Callithrix jacchus: one gene and its partners. The protein of the gene in region 4 purifies or fractionates together with the protein of the main gene of each other region. This does not show direct contact. Links are inferred from orthologs where the notes say so. Each region holds a gene or a part of one and is shown on either strand. Other genes may lie near its edges. The genes, in order: IGSF8, GNB1, PTGFRN, CD81, CD46 and ITGB1.

Evidence for each region.
Region 1: the proteins of CD81 (region 4) and IGSF8 purify together in Homo sapiens (co-immunoprecipitation; 3 studies listed by BioGRID and IntAct, with this or other methods). This does not show direct contact. The link is inferred for Callithrix jacchus from reciprocal best matches to the Homo sapiens genes CD81 and IGSF8.
Region 2: the proteins of CD81 (region 4) and GNB1 purify together in Homo sapiens (co-immunoprecipitation; 4 studies listed by BioGRID and IntAct, with this or other methods). This does not show direct contact. The link is inferred for Callithrix jacchus from reciprocal best matches to the Homo sapiens genes CD81 and GNB1.
Region 3: the proteins of CD81 (region 4) and PTGFRN purify together in Homo sapiens (co-immunoprecipitation; 7 studies listed by BioGRID and IntAct, with this or other methods). This does not show direct contact. The link is inferred for Callithrix jacchus from reciprocal best matches to the Homo sapiens genes CD81 and PTGFRN.
Region 5: the proteins of CD81 (region 4) and CD46 purify together in Homo sapiens (co-immunoprecipitation; 3 studies listed by BioGRID and IntAct, with this or other methods). This does not show direct contact. The link is inferred for Callithrix jacchus from reciprocal best matches to the Homo sapiens genes CD81 and CD46.
Region 6: the proteins of CD81 (region 4) and ITGB1 purify together in Homo sapiens (affinity purification with western blotting; 4 studies listed by BioGRID and IntAct, with this or other methods). This does not show direct contact. The link is inferred for Callithrix jacchus from reciprocal best matches to the Homo sapiens genes CD81 and ITGB1.

The regions. Positions count from the first base shown.
Region 1 is NC_133519.1:20,039,987-20,042,490, forward strand, and holds part of IGSF8 (immunoglobulin superfamily member 8), read right to left. Parts: exon of another isoform or gene 2,195-2,504; intron 1,849-2,194; coding exon 1,471-1,848; intron 791-1,470; coding exon 329-790; intron 1-328. UniProt on the Homo sapiens protein: Member of the immunoglobulin superfamily (IgSF) that links tetraspanin-enriched microdomains to the actin cytoskeleton and plays several important roles in innate and adaptive immunity.
Region 2 is NC_133508.1:39,890,269-39,894,248, forward strand, and holds the start of GNB1 (guanine nucleotide-binding protein G(I)/G(S)/G(T) subunit beta-1), read right to left. Parts: upstream 2,801-3,980; 5' UTR 2,786-2,800; coding exon 2,705-2,785; intron 1-2,704. UniProt on the Homo sapiens protein: Guanine nucleotide-binding proteins (G proteins) are involved as a modulator or transducer in various transmembrane signaling systems.
Region 3 is NC_133508.1:154,913,973-154,917,936, forward strand, and holds the start of PTGFRN (prostaglandin F2 receptor negative regulator), read left to right. Parts: upstream 1-1,164; 5' UTR 1,165-1,463; coding exon 1,464-1,512; intron 1,513-1,805; exon of another isoform or gene 1,806-1,990; intron 1,991-3,964. UniProt on the Homo sapiens protein: Inhibits the binding of prostaglandin F2-alpha (PGF2-alpha) to its specific FP receptor, by decreasing the receptor number rather than the affinity constant. Functional coupling with the prostaglandin F2-alpha receptor seems to occur.
Region 4 is NC_133511.1:129,475,683-129,477,870, forward strand, and holds part of CD81 (CD81 antigen), read right to left. Parts: intron 1,693-2,188; coding exon 1,595-1,692; intron 735-1,594; coding exon 660-734; intron 341-659; coding exon 236-340; intron 1-235. UniProt on the Homo sapiens protein: Structural component of specialized membrane microdomains known as tetraspanin-enriched microdomains (TERMs), which act as platforms for receptor clustering and signaling.
Region 5 is NC_133520.1:35,123,986-35,128,213, forward strand, and holds the start of CD46 (membrane cofactor protein), read left to right. Parts: upstream 1-1,428; 5' UTR 1,429-1,506; coding exon 1,507-1,750; intron 1,751-4,228. UniProt on the Homo sapiens protein: Acts as a cofactor for complement factor I, a serine protease which protects autologous cells against complement-mediated injury by cleaving C3b and C4b deposited on host tissue.
Region 6 is NC_133508.1:32,641,337-32,645,611, forward strand, and holds the start of ITGB1 (integrin beta-1), read right to left. Parts: upstream 2,801-4,275; 5' UTR 2,725-2,800; intron 1-2,724.

The DNA of each region.
Region 1 (2,504 bases), on a different chromosome or scaffold from region 4:
GACAAGAGGCACCTGATTCCCCAACTTTGTGTTTTCTCCTTGACAGCAGCAGCTTCAAAGCTTCCCGTCTGCCTCTCACGGGGTATGACCATCTTTCTACTCGGGGGCTTGAATCTCACCCCTCACCCATGGCCCTCCTAACTCTATAACCAATTACTGAGCAGAGAAAACTCATCAAGGGCAGAGCGGGAAGCAATGCTAACAGGGATGCTCACTCTAGAAGATAAGTTCCTTGGAGTCAGATGACGGCTATCTGGTACCCCCTGTGGCCACAGTGCCCACCAGCATACTGTCCCTCCCAGCTCCCACAGTGGGATGTGGCACTTACACAGCGTCTGCACGTCCACGTGGGCCAGGACAGTCCTTTTCTCTGCAATCTGGGCCCAGCTGCCATCAGGATCCTGAATCCACTCAGCGGCAGTGCAGTGGTAGGTGCCTGCGTCCCCTGCCTGGGCACCTCCTACTACCATGTGGTACCGATCACTCCCTTCCTTACCCAGTCGAAGCTCCCCTGCAGCCAGTCGCTCAGCATAGGGAGCTCCGGCCTCCACAGCCAAGTCTGACCGGATTCCCACCACTTCCTGCAGAGTTGCTCGCCCAACTGGCACCTCGGGCACAGATCGCCCAAAGGACACTGCCAGGTGTGTGTGCTTCTGTGTGCCTGTCCTCGCTAGGCAGCCCAGTGCCAGCTCCTGCCCCTCATACACCATCAGGCGTGGGGGTGAGGTTGGGGCCTGGCGGCCTCGGGGTCCTGCAGGAGCAGCAGACACCTGTAGGACATCTGGAAGAACTGGAGAGAAGAGCTGGAGTGAGGGAGGGCTGGGGGCTGGCAGCCCTTGTTACTACTTCCTGTTCAGGGCCGATCTCCCTAAATAGACTGTGAGCTCCCAGAGGGCAAAGATCGCATGTTGTATTATTTCTTCTGTAACTCAGTGGTGCCAAGCGCAGTGCTGGGCGTATCACAGGCACTCAATAAATACTTGCTGAATTTCAAAGAACCAGCCCATCGCCTACTCACCCTTACGTTCAAGACTGACCCCTGTTTGAAATACCAAGAAAAGTGGCTTTGTCTTCCTTCTCCAGGAGACAAAGAAACTTAAAAGAGTGAGAATGTCACATGGCCTGACTCCTTCCCTAAATACGCTCTTTCCCAGATCTGGGTCCTGTACTGTCCAGTAGAGTCTATTCAACCCATCAGTCTTCCTCATTCTTGGGAATGGAAAGGGGACTGGATGGCTCTTCTTCCAGAAGGGGGCTTGATATAATCAGAAGAGCACTGGCCTGGAGTGAGGAAATCTGGGTTTGAGTCCCACACCAGCCACTGAGTTATTGGGTGACTGTGCAAGTCACTTAACCTCTTTGGGCGTCGAGTTCCTTGGCTACAAAACCTAAGGGGCAGTTAGATAGGTCACTTGTGTCCCTCCTGCCTTGAGAGGGTGTGTGGCCGCACCCTGTTCCAGGGCCTAGTACCTCTCAGCTCCACCTTGCCGCTGTAGCTGCCTAGGTAGCGGGTATCAGTGGAGGGGGTGTGGCACTCATAAATGCCAGCATCCTGGGCCTGCAGGCGCGCAATCTTGAGCACTGCAGCATCCCCTTGTAGGCGCTGCACCTGCACCTCACCCGCCAGCACTCGGGGCTTGAAGATCGCATAGTGGAACTGGTCATCCATGGTACTGACAATACTGAGAGCAGTATCCGGGGCCTCGGGCCTGTACAGGAACCACTCAAAGTTCTGCTGGGCAGGGCCCTCATATTCAGTCACATTGCAGGAGATGGAGACAGCTGTTCCAACCACACGGTACAAGGGCCCCTCAGGGACCAGCACCTGCCGGGCCCAGCATCCCATTCCTGTAGGGAAAGACAAAAGGAGTTGGAGATGCCTGGTTCCCCATTCTATGCCCTCTGCCACCACAAGCACCATTCTTGACTTCTGCCTATAAAAGGAAAGGAGACCTGGAAAAGTTGGTCCACAGCTTGGACCCTGTTCTGAGAACAGGAAACAGATGCTGGGATATAAGACACTTGGGTCTCGAGGAGGTGGTATGGGCCCAGGATTGCCTTGGCACCCAGATGCATCCCATTTCTGGCAGACTAGAAGCAGAGCGCCTGAAGGCAGAAAGGAGTACATCTGATTCCTGACCTAACCAGGCCTTGGTTCCAACTGAACCTTGATCTGTCCCTGCCATTCACCTACCTCCATGTCTACCATTCCTTCCTCCTGGTCAGGGGAGCCTTCTGGCTGGGGGATTCTGAGACTACATGTTCCCTCCTTTGCTTGAGGGGAGCTGGCAGTCTTGCTCAGAAGGGCTAGTTGGCTCAGCTTGTCACCTGGGCTAGACAATGGAGCCAGTGGCCCTAGCTGGAAAGGGCACAGACCCAGTCAGTTCTCACCATACAATGCCCTCCCCCCTCCAGCTGTGCCATGAGCTCACTGCTTCTCTCACCCTGCAGGGCTGCCCAGGCAGCTGGGGCTTCTGGAGGAAGATCCAGACTCTGCCCTGGCA
Region 2 (3,980 bases), on a different chromosome or scaffold from region 4:
CTATGTCAAATGACCCAGCAAAACATATACTTTAGGCTTCATCCTAAATTAAAGCCTGGGCCCTGCTCAGCGTGGAGCCGACTGTCATGGACCAGGCATCCAGTACAGCTGCCTCTCACACGAATGGACCCTGGATCCCTTGCATTGGTGGCACGCCACTCCAGAACACACCTACACCTGCGTATCCTGTGGAGCTTTCTTACTCCATCAGCTACTCTGTGTATTTTAAGGCACACCATGTTTTAATCAGCATCTCTTTGAGAGCCTGTTTCCTCAATAATAACGAAAAGGAACATGCAAGATCCTTTAAGGGTCTTTTGGCTGAAAAATCTAAGAAAGAAAAAAACCCCTTTTAGAATCATCTACAATTTCTTGTTTGATTCACCAAGCTCTGCATTCTTTAACAAGTGTGTATTCCTTGGGCAATCAGGAAAAAATGTTCTACATTTTAAAAATAAACCTTCCTTTCCCATTTGGTGTAAAAGGACTTAAACAGCTTTTGCTGTCCCTGTCTCGTGCAGAGGAGCTAACACGACACAGTCCCTGTGACTTTGGAGATAGAGCAGCTGGGCGCCTCACCTAGTGAACATCCCACTACGGGACCACAAGCTGCAAGTGGCTGCTGCGCACAGGAAAGGGAGCCAGGAGACTTGGGACAAAAACAGTGTCAAGTATCTCAATTAAAATGTATTAATTACTGCCTACAGTCACCATGTTTTGTGGTAAAGTAAAAAATAAATAAATAAAATGTATTAATTACATATTGAATAATAATATTTTAGCTATATTGCCTTAGATAAAATTTGTTGGGCCAGGTGTGGTGGTTCACACCTATAAACCCAGCACTTTGGGAGGCTGAGGCAGGAAGATCACTTGAGCCCAGGAGTTTACGACCAGCCTGGGCAACATGCTGAACTGTGTCTCTACAAAACTGAAAAAAAATCAGCAGGTACGGCAATGCGTTCCTCTAGGCCTAGCTGTGATCGTACCACTGCTCTCCAGCTTGGGCAACTGAGCGAGACCTTGTCTCAAAACACGCAAACTAAAACTGAAAAAACCTTACTAGGATTAATTTTACCTGTTTCGTTCTTTTCATTCTTTTTAAAGAGAGGGGGTCTTCCTTCATTACACAGGCTGGTATCAAACTTTTGGGTTCAAGCAATTCTCCCATCTTGGTCTCCCCAAGTGCTGAAATTACAGGCAGGAGCCATGGTACCCCGCCCTATCTCTTTTTACAATTTTTATGTGGCAACAAGTGTATGTTCGGGAGTGTCATGTGCTATTCGTACCAGTCCAAAAGGGAGTCCCCTGTGCAAGAAGGCGCTGGGAAATTCACAACATGGCAGGGCTCAAACCTCCAGAGGAGGTGCAACAGCTCCTTTGGGCCTTAATTTTTTTAATTTGCGTGTCTTTTACCTTCTTGTACAAGCTCTTTTCATCTGCTATGAATAGATCCAGGTCCACTATTTGTGAGAAACGTATCTCACCAACAGAGAAACAAAACGTCTTAAATAGGCCAAATCACACTACTGTCTAAGACATTTTCAGGGTAACTTAGTAGAGGATATTTGATTTTCTCTCTGACTGTAAATCTCAGAGAATTCCATCATTTTTCCGCAAGTTCAGGAACAAGCTGCCTAAAATGATGCTGGTGTTTCTTTCTCCAACTCCTGGTGGGCTTTCTAAACACGTAATGGGCCATTTAAAAGGAAATAATTAGGCTTCATCCTTGCACTAAGTCAGAAAAACATACTGTTTTTATTTTATTTTGAGAAGGAGTCTCACTTTGTCACCTAGGCTGCAGTGCAGTGGTTGTGAACACAGCTCACTAAACAGCCTCGATCTCCTGAACTCAAGTGATCCTGCTGAGTAGCTGGGACTACAGGTGCGCACCACCAAGCCCAGCTTATAAACTGTTACTCAGACATGTATTAAATGTTGCCGGCTTCCTGTACAGTGACACACTGAAGGACAGCTAAAGCTTGACAGAGCAAACAAGAGTAAGCTCTTACATCAAATGGACAAAACCTAAAATCATAGTGAAGACTTGTTTTTTCCTGAGAAGTCTGCCTCTTTTTCTCTTCCTCTTCATATCAGCAGTTTCAGAATGGAAACATATACTGGTATTAAGTGTTTCTCTATAAAATATTTACTAGAAGTGCTAGTTCACAAAAGGAGAAGGAGCAGAACAAATTCTGTTTAGACCTACTGCTCCTCCTTTTTCAAAAAGTTTATGGGGATGGGAGCAGTGGCTCACACCTGTAATCTCAGCACTTTGGGAGGCCAAGGCGGGTGGATCACCTGAGGCTGGGAGTTCAAGAACAGCCTGGTCAACATGGTGAAACCCCATCTCTACTAAAAATAGAAAAATCAGCCAGGCATGGTAGCAGGAGCCTATAATCCCAACTACTCGGGAGGCTGGCGCAGGAGAATTGCTTGAACCCTGGAGGCAGAGGTTGCAGTGAGACAAGATCTCACCACTGCACTCAAGCCTAGGAGAGCGAGACTCTCTCTCTCTCAAAACAAAAGAAAACAAAAACAAAAAACAAAAAAGGCCGGGCACAGTGGCTCGTGCCTGTCATCCCAACACTTTGGGAGGCTGAGGCAGGCAATTATGAGGTCAGGAGATCGAGACTGTCCTGGCCATGGTGAAACCCTGTCTCTACTAAAATACAAAAAATTAGCCAGGTGTAGTGGCACGCACCTGAGTCCCAGCTACGCAGGAGGCTGAGGCAGGGAAATTGCTTGAATCTGGGAGACGGAGGTTGCAGTGAGCCAAGATCATGCCACTGCACTATACAGCCTGGTGAAAGAGCAAGACTCCGTATCAAAAAAAAAAGTTTATGAACTGTGCAGTCTAACTTGTGTATCAGACACAGACTGGAATGTTTTAGAATTCTGTGACAGATATTCTTTCTACAATGCAGTTTATTTACACACGATTGTTTTCATTTTTCAGGGTCTCACTCTGACGCCCAGTTGCACAATCTCGACACACTGGAACCTCCACCTCCTGGGTTCAAGTGATCCTCTGACCTCAACCTCCTGAGTAGCTGGGACTACAGGCACACACAACAATATCCAGCTAATTTTTACATTTTTTGTAGAAATGGGGTTTCACTACGTTGGCCTGGCTGGTGTTGAACTCCTGACCTCAAGTAATCTGCCCGTCTTGGCCTCCCAAACTGCTAGGATTCCAGGAGGGAGCCCAGTGCAACTGGCCTCTATCTTGGATTTTGATATATCTGCTCCATCTAGCAGTCTATCAAAAGTTGCAGATTCCAATCATCACCACTAGATCCCCTTTCAAAATTAGGAAAAAATACATCAGGTACACCTGAAATACTTTTTTACTTTTAAGGCGGAGTCCTGCTCTGTTACCAGGCTGGAGTGCAGTGATGTGATCTCGGCTCACTGCAATGTGCGCCTCCCAAGTTGAAGTGATTCTCCTGCCTCAGCCTCCCGAGTAGTTGGGACTACAGGCATGCACCACCATACCCGGCTGATTTTTGTATTTTTAGTAGAGACGGGGTGTCACCATGTTGGCCAGGATGGTCTCGATCTCTTGACCTTGTGATCTACCCGCCTCGGCCTCCCAAAGTGCGGGGATTATAGGTGTGAGCCACCGCACCCAATCCTAAAATACATTTTTTTTTTTTTTTTTTTTTTTGAGACAGAGTTTACATGTTGTTACCCAGGCTGGAGTGCAATGGTGGGATCTCGGCTCACCACAACCTCTGCCTTCTGGGTTCAAGCAATTCTACCTCAGCCACCCGAGTAGCTGGGACTACAGGCGCGCACCACCATGCCCAGCTAATTTTTATATTTTTAGTAGAGTCGGGGTTTCACCTTGTTGACCAGGATGGTCTCCATCTCTTGACCTTGTGATCCACCAGCCTTGGCCTCCCAAAGTGCTGGGATTATAGGCGTGAGCCACCGCGCCCGGCCTGAAATACTTTTTTATTGTTAATACTCTTATT
Region 3 (3,964 bases), on a different chromosome or scaffold from region 4:
GCCTTCTGAGTAGCTGACATTACAGATACCAGTTACCATGCCTGGCTATTTTAAACATTTCTAAGTGTACCATTCAGTGGCATTAAGTACAATAACGTTGCACCACCAGGAGTGAATTTCTAAGCCTCTTTCCCAAGGGTTCATACCTGACTAATCACCCATTTGATAGTGGAAATAAGAAACACTTGTTGGTTGAAAGAGCAACGCGTAAGAGTAACAGCAGTGCTCTTCCCCAGCGTGGCAGTTCCACAGGAGCATTTGCAGGTGTGAATGAAAGCCTGGTGAGGGCAGGGGGCACCAGTGCTGCTCCTTGACTGTTTGAATCATGTTTGCTAAGTTTTAACAAGAAGTGCTCCATACCTCCCAATACCGTGGGGCCTTTTGTAATCAAATCAAAAGCACAAAATATTGTGAGGGGGGAAGAATATTTACTGGCAACCAGTTGTGTCCAGTTAGAGCAATAGATATGAAATCTTAAGAGCACATTCTATGTGAAGTACTACAGCTATTAATGCACTTGGGTATTGTTGGTGTGTTCGTTTTTTTAAATGGGTGTCTTTGTGGGGAGTTGTTCCAATCAGGGCCACAGGCGCCAAGGAGAGGGAGGGAGCTGGGCAAGGAGGAGGCAAGCCCACCCACCGGGGTGTGGGCAGAGTCAAGAGAGCAGGGTTCGGATCTCGCCCCTTCCTGCACCTCACCGAAACACGTAAGGCCTCTGTATGACAGAGGTTGGAATCCGTGGCCTTTGAAAGTCCTTTCAGCTCCTTCACTCCTATCTGGATAATTTTTGGCATAGGCCGAGTGGCTGGTTGGTGGGGTGCTTAGCTCAGGACCAGAGGCTGAACCAGCGGGGAGTTGGCTGAGGACAGACTGGACACGCGTGGGTGACTGCAGAGTGATGGAACGCAGGGTGTCCCGGGATAGGGCCAAAGCGATGGGATTTCCAGACGAGTCTTTCCCAGGCCAACTTTTAAAGGTCGGAGGAAAGTTTCTCGTGGGCGGGGGCCCGGAGGGGAGGGCAGGGTGGGCTCCGACGCCTCCTCGCCTTTAAGCGGGTGGCCCCGGCGCGTTCTCCGTTACCTGGAGCGGGGAGGGGCTTGGGAAAGTTTGTGTTTGTTGCTGGCAAAGCGCCGGATGGGAGGCGCGGGCGGGCGGGAGGGCGCTGCGGTTCTTCCCTTGTGCTTTCGGGAAGCGGTCGGGGCTGCACACTCGGAGCGGCGGGGCCGGCTGCAGGGCCCGGCCGGCCGGAGGAGGGAGGGGAGGAGGCGGGAGGGAGCGAGCGGAGCCAGGGGCGCACGTCCGCCCCAGCGCTGGGATTTATCGGCTCGCGGGGAGAGCGGAGCAGGCGCGCGGCCCGGGCGGAGGAGCGCGGACTCTGGAGCAGCCGGAGCTGGAGGAGGAGGAGGAGGAGAGGCGGCGGGGAAGGAGGAGGAGGAGGGGAGAGTCGCTCCCGCCGCGCCAGCATGGGGCGCCTGGCGCCGAGGCCGCTGCTGCTGGCGCTCCTGTGGCTGGGTGAGTGTGCGCGGGGCTCGGCGGGGCGCGGCTGCGGCGCGCGGCCTGGGGTGCGGAGGGTGCCCGGGCCGCTCCCGGGAAACCCGGCCGGGGAGCGCGGGCGGCTCGGCCCGGAGGGGAGCGGCCGTGGGGCCGCCCGGAGCCTGGCGCGAATCCGCCCGGGCCCCGCGCGAGGGGTGCAAGTGGCCGCTCCGCCAGGCCGAGCCTCGCCCCCGACATGTGCCGGGGGGAGTGGCCCGGGGCCGGCTTTCCCCGGCCCTCGCTACCTGTTGGCCGCCGGGAACCCGGCTCACCTTGAACTCCCGGCCCGGAAGGTGCTGCGGTCCCGGCCCGCGTCCCCGGCTCGGGAGCGGAAATGTGAGCCTGGGAGATGCCCCGCCATAGCCGCCGCCGGCCGCGTCGCTCTTCCCCGAGCCCGCGCGGAGTTGCCTTTCCAGGGAAGCGACAGAATCCTCCAACTTCCTTCCACGAAGGTCACAGCGTGGCCCTGAGCGTTACGATGGAAATCGGCGTGCGAGCCCTGCCGTCATTTTCGTGCTGGCTGGGTCTTCTGCCTCAGTCGTTTCTTTTAGCTTTTCTTGAAGCTGCCTGGCTGCATACTGATACACAAAGACCGAAGAGCCTGGCTTCTCCAACTTTTTCTACCTGTTACTTTTCCTCCCTTACCGTCCCCTGGTCTTCCACCCTCCGGAAACCCTCGGTGCCCTGTGAGGTTTTGGCCCAGTGCCCTCCCCCCACCCAAGGAATCTTTTGTGGGTTTTTTCCCCCTCTCCATTTTCCATTCACTCCACACACAGGCACCATCTTCACGTAGATCCACATGGTGATCCTAGCCAGCCACGGAAATATGTTTATTAAGTGCCCACCGTGGTACCCCAGGGCTGACCCTTAAACGCTTTGATACTCTTGGATCCTTGTGGTCAGTGTCAGCCAGGACGAGATGATTCCTGTGACCTGGCCTGGGGTTCTCTTCCAAGCCCCTGGAGAAGGCAGATTTGAGCCTTTTACAGAGCGCGTGCTGTGCCGTGTCCATCCCATCCAGGTCCCAGCTGCACACAGGGCAAATGACTACTCTGCACTTATGGCCAGAGGGTCCCAGGGGAGGCCTTCTACAGCCACTCCCCTGCTGGGAACACCAGGGGCCCACACTACTCTAACCCCCTTCACTCCTGCTGCTGGTGAACCAGCCTTGCTAGCTACTATGTTTTCTTCCTTCACCTTGAAGGGATTTTCTGAACTCTCCCTAAGAGAGCTCGTCCAGCCACGTTGCTTTCAGCTTCAGGCAGTGTGCAGAGAGCTTCCCTATCTTCCAGTTAGTTTTATGGCATCTCTTCTATCGTTCCTGATTCTGGTGCTTTGCTTTTTTTTTGGAGACGGAGTTTCGCTCTTGTTACCCAGGCTGGAGTGCAATGGCGCGATCTCGGCTCACCGCAACCTCCGCCTCCTGGGTTCAGGCCATTCTCCTGCCTCAGCCTCCTGAGTAGCTGGGATTACAGGCACGTGCCACCGTGCCCAGCTAATTTTTTGTATTTTTAGTAGAGATGGGGTTTCACCATGTTGACCAGGATGGTCTCGATCTCTTAACCTCGTGATCCACCCGCCTCGGCCTCCCAAAGTGCTGGGATCACAGGTGTGATTTTATCTTTGAAACAAGGTCTCACTTTGCCACCCAGTCTGGAGTGCAGTGGCACTGCACAGCTCACTGAACCCTCAAACTCCTGGGCTCAAGTGATGCTCCCACCTCAGCCTCCCGAAGTGCTGGGATTCTCGGCACGCTGCACCACACCCGGTGGTAATGCTTTTAGTCTTTACTTTTCACTCTGGGACCCTATGTTTGCGGCACGCTGCTGTGATGGTCCACACACATTGACTATGTCTGGATCACGCAGGGCCGTGGCCTGGGTTTGCACGGATGGTGCACTGTACAGCTTCAGGAGCTGCTGTTCACTTTATAGCCCATGTGAATGACTCCCCATAGAGCTGTGCAGTTCTCTGAAACCTGGGTACCAGTTATGAGGGTGGGATGAGGTAGAACTTTGAAAACAATGCCCTTGAGTAATCATAATAAGGGCGGAAGAGGGAGGGGGCAAAGAGACTGACAAAAAAAAAAAAAGACAAGTGGGGAAAGCACAACTTGGGGAAATCTTGATTGTACCCCAACATATCCTGTCCTGGCTGGAGGCCTCCTATGAACTCCGCAGGGAGTTTCTGTGGTGTCACCAGCCAGTGCCTTTTCACCTGACAGTCCTGTGACCCATTGATGACTCTCCTGATACCTGCTGCCACAGAATCTTGCTCGGTGTAGCTTCAGCCTGACCTCTGGGAAGGTCTCCCTGTGTTACACTACTCTAGCACTGTACTGATCCCTGAAATGTAATATGTTGATCAGCAAGATCATCTTTCCTCCCGGGATGTGACCTGGGTATAATCTTGGTATCGCTGCTCTTTTTGA
Region 4 (2,188 bases):
CCAGCTGAGCCCAAGGGTCCTAGAGGTCCCCAGGGCACCTCCTGCTCCTGAGGTCTGGGTGGACGCAGTAGGGGTGGTCCAGGATGAGACAGAGCCCGCCCGGGTTTCTGCCCCGCCCTGCCCCGCCCCGTCCCGTCCCGCAGTAGGGGTGGTCCAGGATGAGACAGAGCCCGCCCGGGTTTCTGCCCCGCCCCGCACTGGTTTCTGCCCCGCCCCGCCTCGCCCCGGGCCGCACCGTCTCGTGGAAGGTCTTCACCACGGCCTTGGCGTTGTTGGCGTCATCGTCCACCACGGCCTGTTGCAGGGCCTGGTCGTAAAACTGCTTCACATCCTTGGCGATCTGGGGGAGGGCTGCGGTCACTCGCACAGTTGGGACCTCCCCAACCTTGCCCCAGCCCCACGCACCTTTCCCAAGCTCTCCCAGGGCAGGGTGGCTTCCAGGCCAGACGTCTACACTCCCAGCTGCCCCGGGGGCGCCGGGACGCACAAGGGAGGCTGGCCTTGTGCTCAGCCCCAGTGCTGCCGCCTCCATGCAGCCCCCAGAGACTCTCCTACCAAGTGGGTCCCAGGAGGAGCCCAGAGAGTACCCCCCACCCGCAACAGCAGAGGAGGGTGCCCCTCCCATCCACCCCACCCTGCCCCCGCGCACCCAGGCTCACCTGGTCTTTGTTGACAAAGCCCCAGATGCCAGCGGCCACCTCACAGGCAAACAGGATGACCAGACAGGTGAAGAACTGGAGCCATGCAGTGGCCAGAGGGAGGAAAGAGGGCAGGCTGTGGGCGGGGCCCCAGGGCAGACACCCAGGGGCCCAGCAGGCTGTGGGCGGGGCCTCAGCACAGACACCCAGGTGCCCAGCAGGCTGTGGGCGGGGCCTCAGCACAGACACCCAGGTGCCCAGCAGGCTGTGGGCGGGGCCCCAGGGCAGACACCCAGGTGCCCAGCAGGCTGTGGGCGGGGCCCCAGGGCAGACACCCAGGTGCCCAGCAGGCTGTGGGCAGGGCCCCAGGGCAGACACCCAGGTGCCCAGCAGGCTGTGTGTGAGGGACCAGACCACCTGACCAGGAATGAGTGCCATGTATGAGCCCTAGAGCACAGAGCCTGACACTAAGCCCCAGGAAGCAGACGTCAAAGCCCACGGCTTCCCCGCCAGCACCAGCACCCTGAGGTGGATGGGGCGGGGCCTGAGGTTTGGGGTCACAGCTGGTGAGTCCAAGATGTCTGCAGCCCCGGGAGGCATGTGCAGCAGCCTGACCCCTGACTCAGACCTGGTCTTCCCCACCCCCTTGCTCCTGCTCCCCATGGGAAGGGGGCCATGGGATGTGCCTCAGTTTCCCCCACTGGGCTTCCCATTGGGGGCGCTGTGCCCAGGGATGCCCAAGGCCGGCCTCAGGTCACTTAGGAACTGACCATGAGGAGATCAAGCACAGTGGGATTTAATTTAAAAATCAAATGGGAAATCCGGGGCACGGGAGCTGCCGCCACCGCTGCCTACCCCAGAAGTGCAATCCGCCCTGAGCACCAGGGCCGGACACAGCCCCCAGCCCCTCCCCGGGCTGGGCCCATCCCAGGTGCAGGCCCACCTCCCTGCCTTACCGTCCCCAACAGGCACTGGGACTCCTGGATGGCCCCATAGCAGCCCAGGAAGCCAACGAACATCATCACGGCGCCCACAGCAATGAGGATGTAGATGCCTTGGGGAGAGCGACACTGGGTGGGCGCCTGCACACTCGTCACAGCCCGAGACCCCGGAGGGTCCCGGGTGCCGACCCCACCACGGGCTGCCCAGCTGGGAAGACCCGATGCCAGGGATGAGCAGCGAGGGCCCGCATCCCAGCTCGGCCCTGCAAACTCTCTGTGCCTCAGTTTCCTCTCCCATGATGCAGAAGGGAGACTGAGACCACCAGGTGGGGACTGTGTGCCTCGTGAGTGCTCTGAGTGCTGGAGATGGGTGCTTTGCAGGGACAAGGCCTGCGGTGTGGCCCATGGCCTGCCACCCGCCACAGTCCCCCACCCACCACCCACAACCCGCCACCCGCCACACCTGCCAGCCACAGTCCCCCACCACCACCCACGGCCCTCCAAGCACCAAACCCACCACCCACAGTCCCCCACCTGCCACCCACTGCCTGCACCCACTGCCTAAACCTGCTCCTAATGCCGCTGGGACTTGGCGTGGAGTCTGAGAAG
Region 5 (4,228 bases), on a different chromosome or scaffold from region 4:
GACTGTTTCACAAAAAAAGAAAGTTCTCCCTCTTATCCACTTAACCTAACAATTTCTGCCCATCCCAATCCTCCTGCATTTATTGCTTCCAAGAATTTGGCACTTAGGACACCCTTGTCCTTACATTGTTCATGCATGTATATTTCATCTTCAAAAAACATTTAGTCGCTCAAGGGCAAGGGCCCCAGAGTCCCAATATGCTAAGGGCCTGATGTCGCTTAATAATTTAGATTCCAGCGGGGCTACTCTCCAGGGAGGAGAGCAAAGAGCAAATTACCTTACGGGCTGGGAGTGCAGGAGCCAAACCTTTGAGACTGAAAACAAGAAGGCCAGAGACGATTCAGCAGCAGGCATCCAAGCAAGAAAAACTCAAATACTGCTCCTAATAATGTCTAATGGCAAATACCGTGTAAGGGCCCAGGCAGTCCGGACAGCCTGCAGTGCCCCAGGATAAAACTAACCCTGAGGGCTGATGGCCCAGAGTGACGCCCGTCCTGGCCTCTGGATCTCTATTTTTAGGTCGAAGGGCTTTATTCTTGAATCCCGAGTTCCCGGAGACAGTCCTACGGCAGCTTAGTTTTCTTTCTACCCTTCCAGGGTCACAAACTTGGCGGTGACCCAGCCCTTTCTCGCAGGCCGCCTCAGGTTTCCAGAACTGTGGCCCTACGGTTTAGCAAGAAAAGAGGCGAGGCCCGGGGAGCCTGCAGGGTTAGGCCCTGCCAAGGCCACGCCCTATCTCCAGGAGGCCAACGGGCTGTCCCTGAGCGCCAAGGCCCCGCCCAGCGGTCCGCCGATTGGCCCCACCGCCCCGGGGCCTCTACTCACTTCCGCCTCGGGCGCGGCTCAGGCCACGCCCACCCGCTGTGAGGCTGTGGGCACTTTGTGAGTTTGGGGATTGTTGCGTCCCGTAAGCGGACTCACAAGGGACTTCCCTGCTCAGCTGGCTCCCGGTTTCTCTGCTTACCTCCGGATAAATGACGGCTTCTTCCGCGACGCGCATGGCGCCTCCCAGCCGCCGCGAGTGTCCCTCTCCTTCCTGGCGTTTTCCTGGGTTGCTTCTGGCGGCCCTGGTGTTGCTGCGGTCCTCCTGCTCTGGTAGGATCCCGGGGCGGGTTCGCGCGTCAGCGGTGAAGCTAGAACTCTGCTGGATCAGCTGGGCAGGAGGCGCGGGGCGGGACTGACCGTTTGTCCTGCCGGCTTGGGGTAGAGGGCGAGGCCAGGGTTCTCCGAGGAGCGCAGTGCGCAGATCCCTGGGGTGTGTGGCGGAGGATGCGGGGACCACTTAGAGCCCGAGGTGAAGCTTGTTTGCTGGAGTGATGTGCGCGGCCCGAATTTACGTAGGGTCTGGCTGCGCCCCCAACAAAAGCCTGCACCTTGTTTTCGGGATTGAGTCCAGTCGGCAAGTGGAGCGCGCACTGGGTGCCCCTGGTAAGGGCTTGCTTTGGAGTGCACGGGTGCGTGGGAGTGTTGCTAGGGCCCGTGCTGTGCCGCCGGTGAGAGTTTAACATGTGTTCCCTGGGCGGGGCGGTTGGTGCCTTGGTGAGCCGGGTGTTCCTTAGCACTTCGGCAGTATCTGCGAAAAGTGCTGCGGCGCGTCCGTCCGCTGTGCCCCATGGGCTGGGCTGGCATGGGCTGTGCTGGGCGATCAGGGGCCTGGCCTGGTGTTGTTGGGAGCGTGCTGTGTTGTGTGCAAGTGGCCTGCCCTTCAGAGTTCACGGTGGACAAGACAGCTCACTGTTTGCTTTGAATGGTGTGAGCGTGGACTCTGGGGCTAGGGGGGTTATGTTGGGTGAGAACAGGTTCTCAGTGCCTGGGGTTAGAGATGCTGGTAAGGGCACGCCACGCGTTTTGTGCCTTCTGTGAACAGTCTCCGTGTTGCCTGAGATCCTATTGGTCTTGATTTTTAACTAGCTGGTTTTTTGGGACTTGGGTGGGTCATGGAGTCATCTTCCTGTTCCCAACCAATGTAGACACTCTCTGATTCCATTACCTAATGGCTTTTTGACATAATTTTCCTTCTTTTCATTGTTTGAGTCATATTTGAGAGATGTGAAGAAACCTAAAAAACACTGGTAACCAAACCTATTGAGAAATTAGTATCCTAACAAAGGAAAGGAAATTATGTTAATCTGTTTTCCCTGCAACTCATAAACTAAAGCTGAAGCCCATCCCACTAAATTTGTTTTGTATTTCATTGAATGGAATAATACTATTAAAAATGCATACTAGGCCAGGTGCAGTGGCTCATGCCTGTGATCCCAGCACTTTGGGAGGCCCAAGTGGGGTGATTGCTTGAGCCCAGGAGTTGGGCAAGCAAAACCCCATGCAAACCCCATATCTACAAAAAATACAAAAATTAGATGGGCATGGTGGTGTATGCCTGTGGTCCCAGCTACTCTGGAGGCTGAGGTGAGAGGATCGCTTGTGCTTGGGAAGTGAAGACTGCAGTGAGCTGTGATCATGCCACTGTGCTCCAGCCTGGGTGACAGAGTGAGACCCTATCTAGAAAAAAAAAAAAAAAGCTAAGAAATACATGCTTATTAAACAAAACGAACAGAATCACAGGACAACTATTTTTAATATTTTGGACTATTTCCATCTGACTTTATATGCGCTTCAGGTGTATCTATGTCCAAACTTATATTTAGGATCCTATTACGTGTACAGGTTGTACGTTACGTTTCTTTCCTTAGGAACATTCATTCAACGAATGTCGGCCTAGAATGTGTGGTGCTATTACACTGGTAGGCAATCCCAAACGTTCCTATTTTCTTGATCCTTTTTTTCGCCATTTGTTTACACACATGTACATGCAGGAAGATAAGCAGGGGCTTTGTTTTGTGCACTGCTGCAAGCTCAGTGCTGGGAACACAGTAAACAATAACTATTCGCTAAAATGTATTGGGAGTGGCAGACATTAACTAAACGTAATAGTAACAAATATATTATGAACCAAGGGAAGTGCTCTGGAGAAAAGGAGTATAATTTTCTGACAGCATTTAACAAATGGACTGGAGGCAGGGAAGGCTTTTCTGCTCATCAAAGAGACAAAACTCTGCCTCTTTGGGGCATCTGTGCTTGCTGTTCTCAGCCCTGGAACATTCTCCTGAACTGCTGCATAAACGGGCTCTTTTCTTCTGCAAACTCGGCTGGTATGTTATCCCCTCAGAGACCTTCTCTGACCGCCCCCCGTTTCAGGTTGGAGACATACAACCCAGTTCAAGTCCCTCTTCACTTGTAATCACGCTTTAAAAATGACCTTTTCTATTCTTTGTCTCTCCCCATCAGAATGCAGGGATCTTATCTGTCTTGTCACATTTGTGGTTCCAAAAGCCCAATTTGTTTGCCTCCATATCAATACTGACTCAGTATCCATATAGACATCTGTTAAATACCAGAAAATTAAATATACTATTTGGCTGGGGCTTAGAGCCTAGGAAAAAGTTCCTCCTGCCTCCAGGAAGAAGGTTGTTTAAAGAGCTATGCTCAGGGTGGTTTTTCTGTGGTACCTAAAAAGCCAGGGCAGGGGCAGCTGAGGGCCCGAAAGGATCTTCCTCCCCTGTTCATGTTGACTGTAGGGTTTCCAGTACTTAAGTCTGGCATTTCAGTGATTATTAAAACGTTCATTTTGAAGGAGGGTGATGGGAGGAGGGAGCAGTGGTGATAAGAAGAAAACGAAAGGCCTTTTATTTTCTTTTAAGATTAATGTTTAGAATAGACTTAGTACTAGAAGTTCAGGCTGGGCAACATAAGGAGATCCCACCTTTACAAAAAATGAAAAAAAAAAAAAAAATTAGCCAGGTGTGGAGTTTGTTGCATGCCTGTAGTCCCAGCTACTTGAGAGGCTGAGTGAGAATCACTGGAGCCCCCACGGTCAAGGCTGCAGGTCAAGGCTGCAGTAAGCCCTGATTGTACCACTGCACTCTAGCCTGGGTGACAGAGTGAGACCCTGTTTCCAGAAAAAAACGAAAAGGAAAACACACACACACAAATAGGAAGTTGAAGAAGATAATGAAAGTGATTTGAAATAGAGGAACACAGAAAAATAAAATAGGGTGCAACATGGAAGATAACCTTGTTTTTCCTTCTCTTCATTCTTAGTTAAGTTTGAGGTTGATAAGGTTAAATCAACAACAAGTATGAAACCTAGAGAAAGTAAAAATGAGAACTCATGATGCCACGCAGGGAGAATACATGAACTAAAATAAACATTCAATTTTTGGAGCAA
Region 6 (4,275 bases), on a different chromosome or scaffold from region 4:
TATATGCAGCTTGTTCATATTCAGAAAGTTACATCCTTGGACCTCAAAAGTTCTCTGAAACTTTTACCAGTTACAAGACGTTTCAGCTTATCACACTAGCAATATAGTTAAGAGCAAACCAGAGCACCTACAGAATATTAATATTTTTTCCAGATAGAACATTATACTAGTCTCCGCTATAAGCCACAACTTACTTAGGAAGAAGCCAAACAACAAAGACATTACAATCAGTGGCAAGCACTCTTAGGAAAACTGGCACCATGTTGTTTGACTGCAAAATGTGACCAGATGTCCCCACTGTCACTCCCAAAGTTAGGAAGTGAACACCAATGTAGAATTACATTTTCATTTGTAATGGTAATTTGGGGCTGATTTAAATGATACTGACCAAAGCTAAGAAGAAAGCTGTCTAATTACTAAATCTAGTGGCTTTCAGAATTGTTGATTCCATACTTTTCATGTAGAGAATGTTGAGTGAGGGTAACAAAAAATAATTTCAATATAGACCTTCACATGGTTAAAAAAGAAGTCACAATCATTGTAGGTCTAGGTCTGAAGTCAACATAGACGCATTAAACAGTCTATTTGCTTTCTGTTTACAGAACTAAAGTATTATCCACATTCTTTGTCCTTTTAACCAGCATTCTAATAACATCTTCCACCTTCATACTCAATCTTTGGATAAGTAAAATGGCTTTCTCCCCAAATGCCTGTAGGAAAACACCAAACTTTTTTATTTAACACTTCACCATTTTCAACCACGTGTGTAATATTAATCAATGAGACAACATTATTTAAAAATATAAGAATTACAGTGAGACTCTAAGTCCTGACCCCTCTGGGCCTTGGTGTCCACAAATGAACAGTTAACTGCCAACTAAAGTTCTTAATCATTTCTGAAAGTGGTCTATTACATAGCGTATTTTTAAGGGCATACGTGGTTTAAGAAAGATGTCTAACCTAAATTCCTCTAGCATGTTATTTTTGTACCATCAAAAATACAATTAAAAAAATAAGAACCTAAGAGCCAGGCTTAGGAACTCACACCTGTAATCCCAGCACTTTGGGAGCTCAAGGAGAGAGGACTGCTTGAGTTTGGGGCCAGCCTGGGCAGCATAGTAAGATCCTGTCTCTACAAAAAATTTTAAAAGGGTGCAGGCGCCTGTAATCCCAGCTACTAAGGAGGCTGAGGTGGGAGAGTAACTTAAGCCTGGGAGGTTGAGGCTGCGGTGAGCTGTGATGCACCTCTGCACTCCAGCCTGGGCGACAGAGACCCGGTCTCAAAACAAAACAAAATAACCTAGTAATTCTCCCCACCTGTTATCCATGTGGCATGTTGGTCCAGAGAAATTACTAATGATGTTACCAATTACCTTCTGAGATATTTTTTAACATCTTTTTATTATAAAGAAAGGGCTGAAAAGGAGTCAGTATTCATTAAGCATCTACTCTAAGTGTCTCGCATTTTGCATTTGATTTTCACAACTAGACTATAGTTAGGAAAGTTACTTGTGGTTTAAACGTGGACTCTGGAGCTAGACCCCATGCCTTCTCCAGGAGCTCCTGATGACCACAGGCAACTTACTTTTGCTCCCTGTGCTTCAGTTTCTCACTCAGAAAATGAGAATAAAAACAGTACCGACCTCATTAGAGTGGTTCCAGAATTAAATAATACATGTAAAATTCCTAGACCTAAACTTGGCCCTCATTGTCATTATTATAAAAATGAATAATTTAGTGTAGATATTATTGTTCCTATTTCACAGACAAGGAAACGGAAGCTGAGTGCAACTTACTAATCATACAAATGAGTGCAAAGTTTTTGACTCAAAACAACGAATTTCACGAAATAAAAGTTGCTTAGAGTAGGAGTCTCATAAATTCAATTTATGAAGCCTAAGAAATGACGTGAGGTAAAATGATACTAGACACAGGCCGGCTTTCAGGCTCGCGGACGGGGTCTGAGCGCGGGTGACCGTGGTCCTGCGTCCTGGTCCCGGGGTGCCCGGCAGAGGCTGGCGTCTCTGACTGCCGGGCACTCGCGTTTATAAACACGGGGAGGTGGACGGCACTGCCGCCACCACGCCTCTGGTCCCCAGCGGCTACGCGAGGCCACTTTCTGACCCGGCTCCCACCTCCCCCGCCCGCGGCGCTGGCCTCAAGGCTGCCTCCCGGCAGCGGGAGGACACCAGACCAGTCCCCGCCGCGGGCGCGGACAACCGACTCGACGCTGCTCCAAGGACGGCAGCCAGCGAGGGAGCGGGAGACAAAGGCACAGGACCCGTCCAGGGACGCGCCGAGTCCCAAACGCCGAGCCCCAGGAGACCTCGCTGGCTCCACCTGCGCTCGCCCAGCCGGGTGGGAGACTGCAGGTGTCAGGGGCCGCTCGAGCCCACTGCCCCGCAGCTCCCGCAGCCCCGACGTGACAGCGCCCAAGCCATCTACCCCCGCGCTCGGAACGCGGCCGGGTAGGCTCCGCGCCCGGGGACTACCAGCGCCCGCGACTCGAGGCGGGTGGAAGAGCCAGGCGGGTGGCAGAGCGCGGACTTCCTCCCCGGCGAGCCTGGAATCCCACCCCAGCCCCCACCCGCCGGCGGCCGCCCCCGCCCCCACGCCCGGCACAAAGGTCCCGGCGCGGCCCAGCAGGCGGCCCAAAATGCGGCGGCGCACCAGATCCCTGAGGCCGCGGCCCACGACCCCACGCCCGAGGGCCCCGGCCCCTACCTTCCCCGCGCGGCGTCCGAGCCCGGGCGCGGTGGGTTCGGGCCTGCTGCTCCGCGGCTCCCGCTCGGCCTCTCTCGCGGGCTGGCGGGGCCTCCCAGGTCTCGGGCGCGGCGGGCGGCGGCGGCTCCTCCCCCTCAGGGGCGGGAGGAGGGGACTCGGCGGCCCTGAGCCGCCCCCCGGCAGGAAACTAGCCGCGGCCCCGCCTTCTCTGCGCGTCCGATCCCGCTCCCGAGGCCGCAGCCGCCGCCCGCTCCCTCCGGAAACGCATTCCTCTCCCGCCGCGTCAGCCGGGCCCGGGGCGAGGAGGAGGCAGGAAGCGCTGCCGGGACAAAGGAACCGGCCCGCACGGGAGCGCGCCTTGGGGGAGACTGTGGAGGGCGGGGCAGAGACGCCGCAGAGGCCGTCCCGCGCCTCAGTTTCCTCCTCTGTGAAGGGCGTGAGGGGTCGGGTGCGCCCTAGAGCCCCGCGCGTTCCTGGCGTCGCCTCCTGAGCCAGTGTTTTTTGGTTCCGCTTCCTGGGAGCCGCGCGTCCGACCTCCCTTCCCGTTTGTCCACTGATGTCTCGTTTTGAGCCTGTGAGATCCTGCACCCAGGAAGCCCCCCCTTCCGTCCCAAGGCAAATCGGCACCTGAGCCCCGGACCCTGCAGGGCTCCATGGGGGCAAAAACAACGTGGTCCTTCTGGAAGGGAACTGGCTAAGCCAGGACTGCTTTCCTGGGGTGAGAATGTGCTTGCGTGTGTCTAAGAAAAAGGTGAAGACTTGGGGAAGCCCATGGGTGCCACGAAGGGTGGGGATGGGGAACGTTTTAGAAAATGGTGAGTTGTGGGCTGCTTTTGATAGGTTTATCTGAAAGTCCATTTATTGGGGAACAGGGATGAGAAAGAAAAGTTTCATCCTGAGGTGTATAGTTTCTGTTTCTCCTCACTTTTTTTTTTTTTAAACACTTGGAGATGGGGGCTGGAAACAACGTTTGAAAGAGAAGGAAACATTCATAATGAGAATGGCTGGGCACATATCGATTGGATGATTGAAGTTCCTACCAGCCAACATCATACTGAAACCCCGTAATTCAGTATGTGCTGCTGGCAAGCTGCTATCCTGGTAGCAGAAAATGTTGTGGGCTTTACTTAGTAAGCTGCTGCACCCTGTTAGAAAAAGAGCTCAAAATTTATCAGATTTATTAAACTGAGAAGTAGTGTTTCTCTTGTAGGAGATTAGGGGCTGGGACACCCATTTGGCTGCTGCCAATCCAAAATATAAGAGAAAATGAAGCAATAACATCTTTCTAGAAAATTTGCACATTACTTACCAGCAAAATCTATTGGTTAGCCAATCTCTGAAGACCTCTAGAAAATAATCACTATTTTTCCCACTTAATGGATGTTCAAGCTTAAGAGACTAAATGATGTTCCTATAATATATCAATGATCAAACTGCCATTAGAACTCAACATTCTTGAATTTTAAAGGTATCGGTTTTACCATTGTTTGGAATTCATCAGAATTGGCCCAGTCTCAGCACAGAAAACTGTATAGTACAAAAGCATAATGG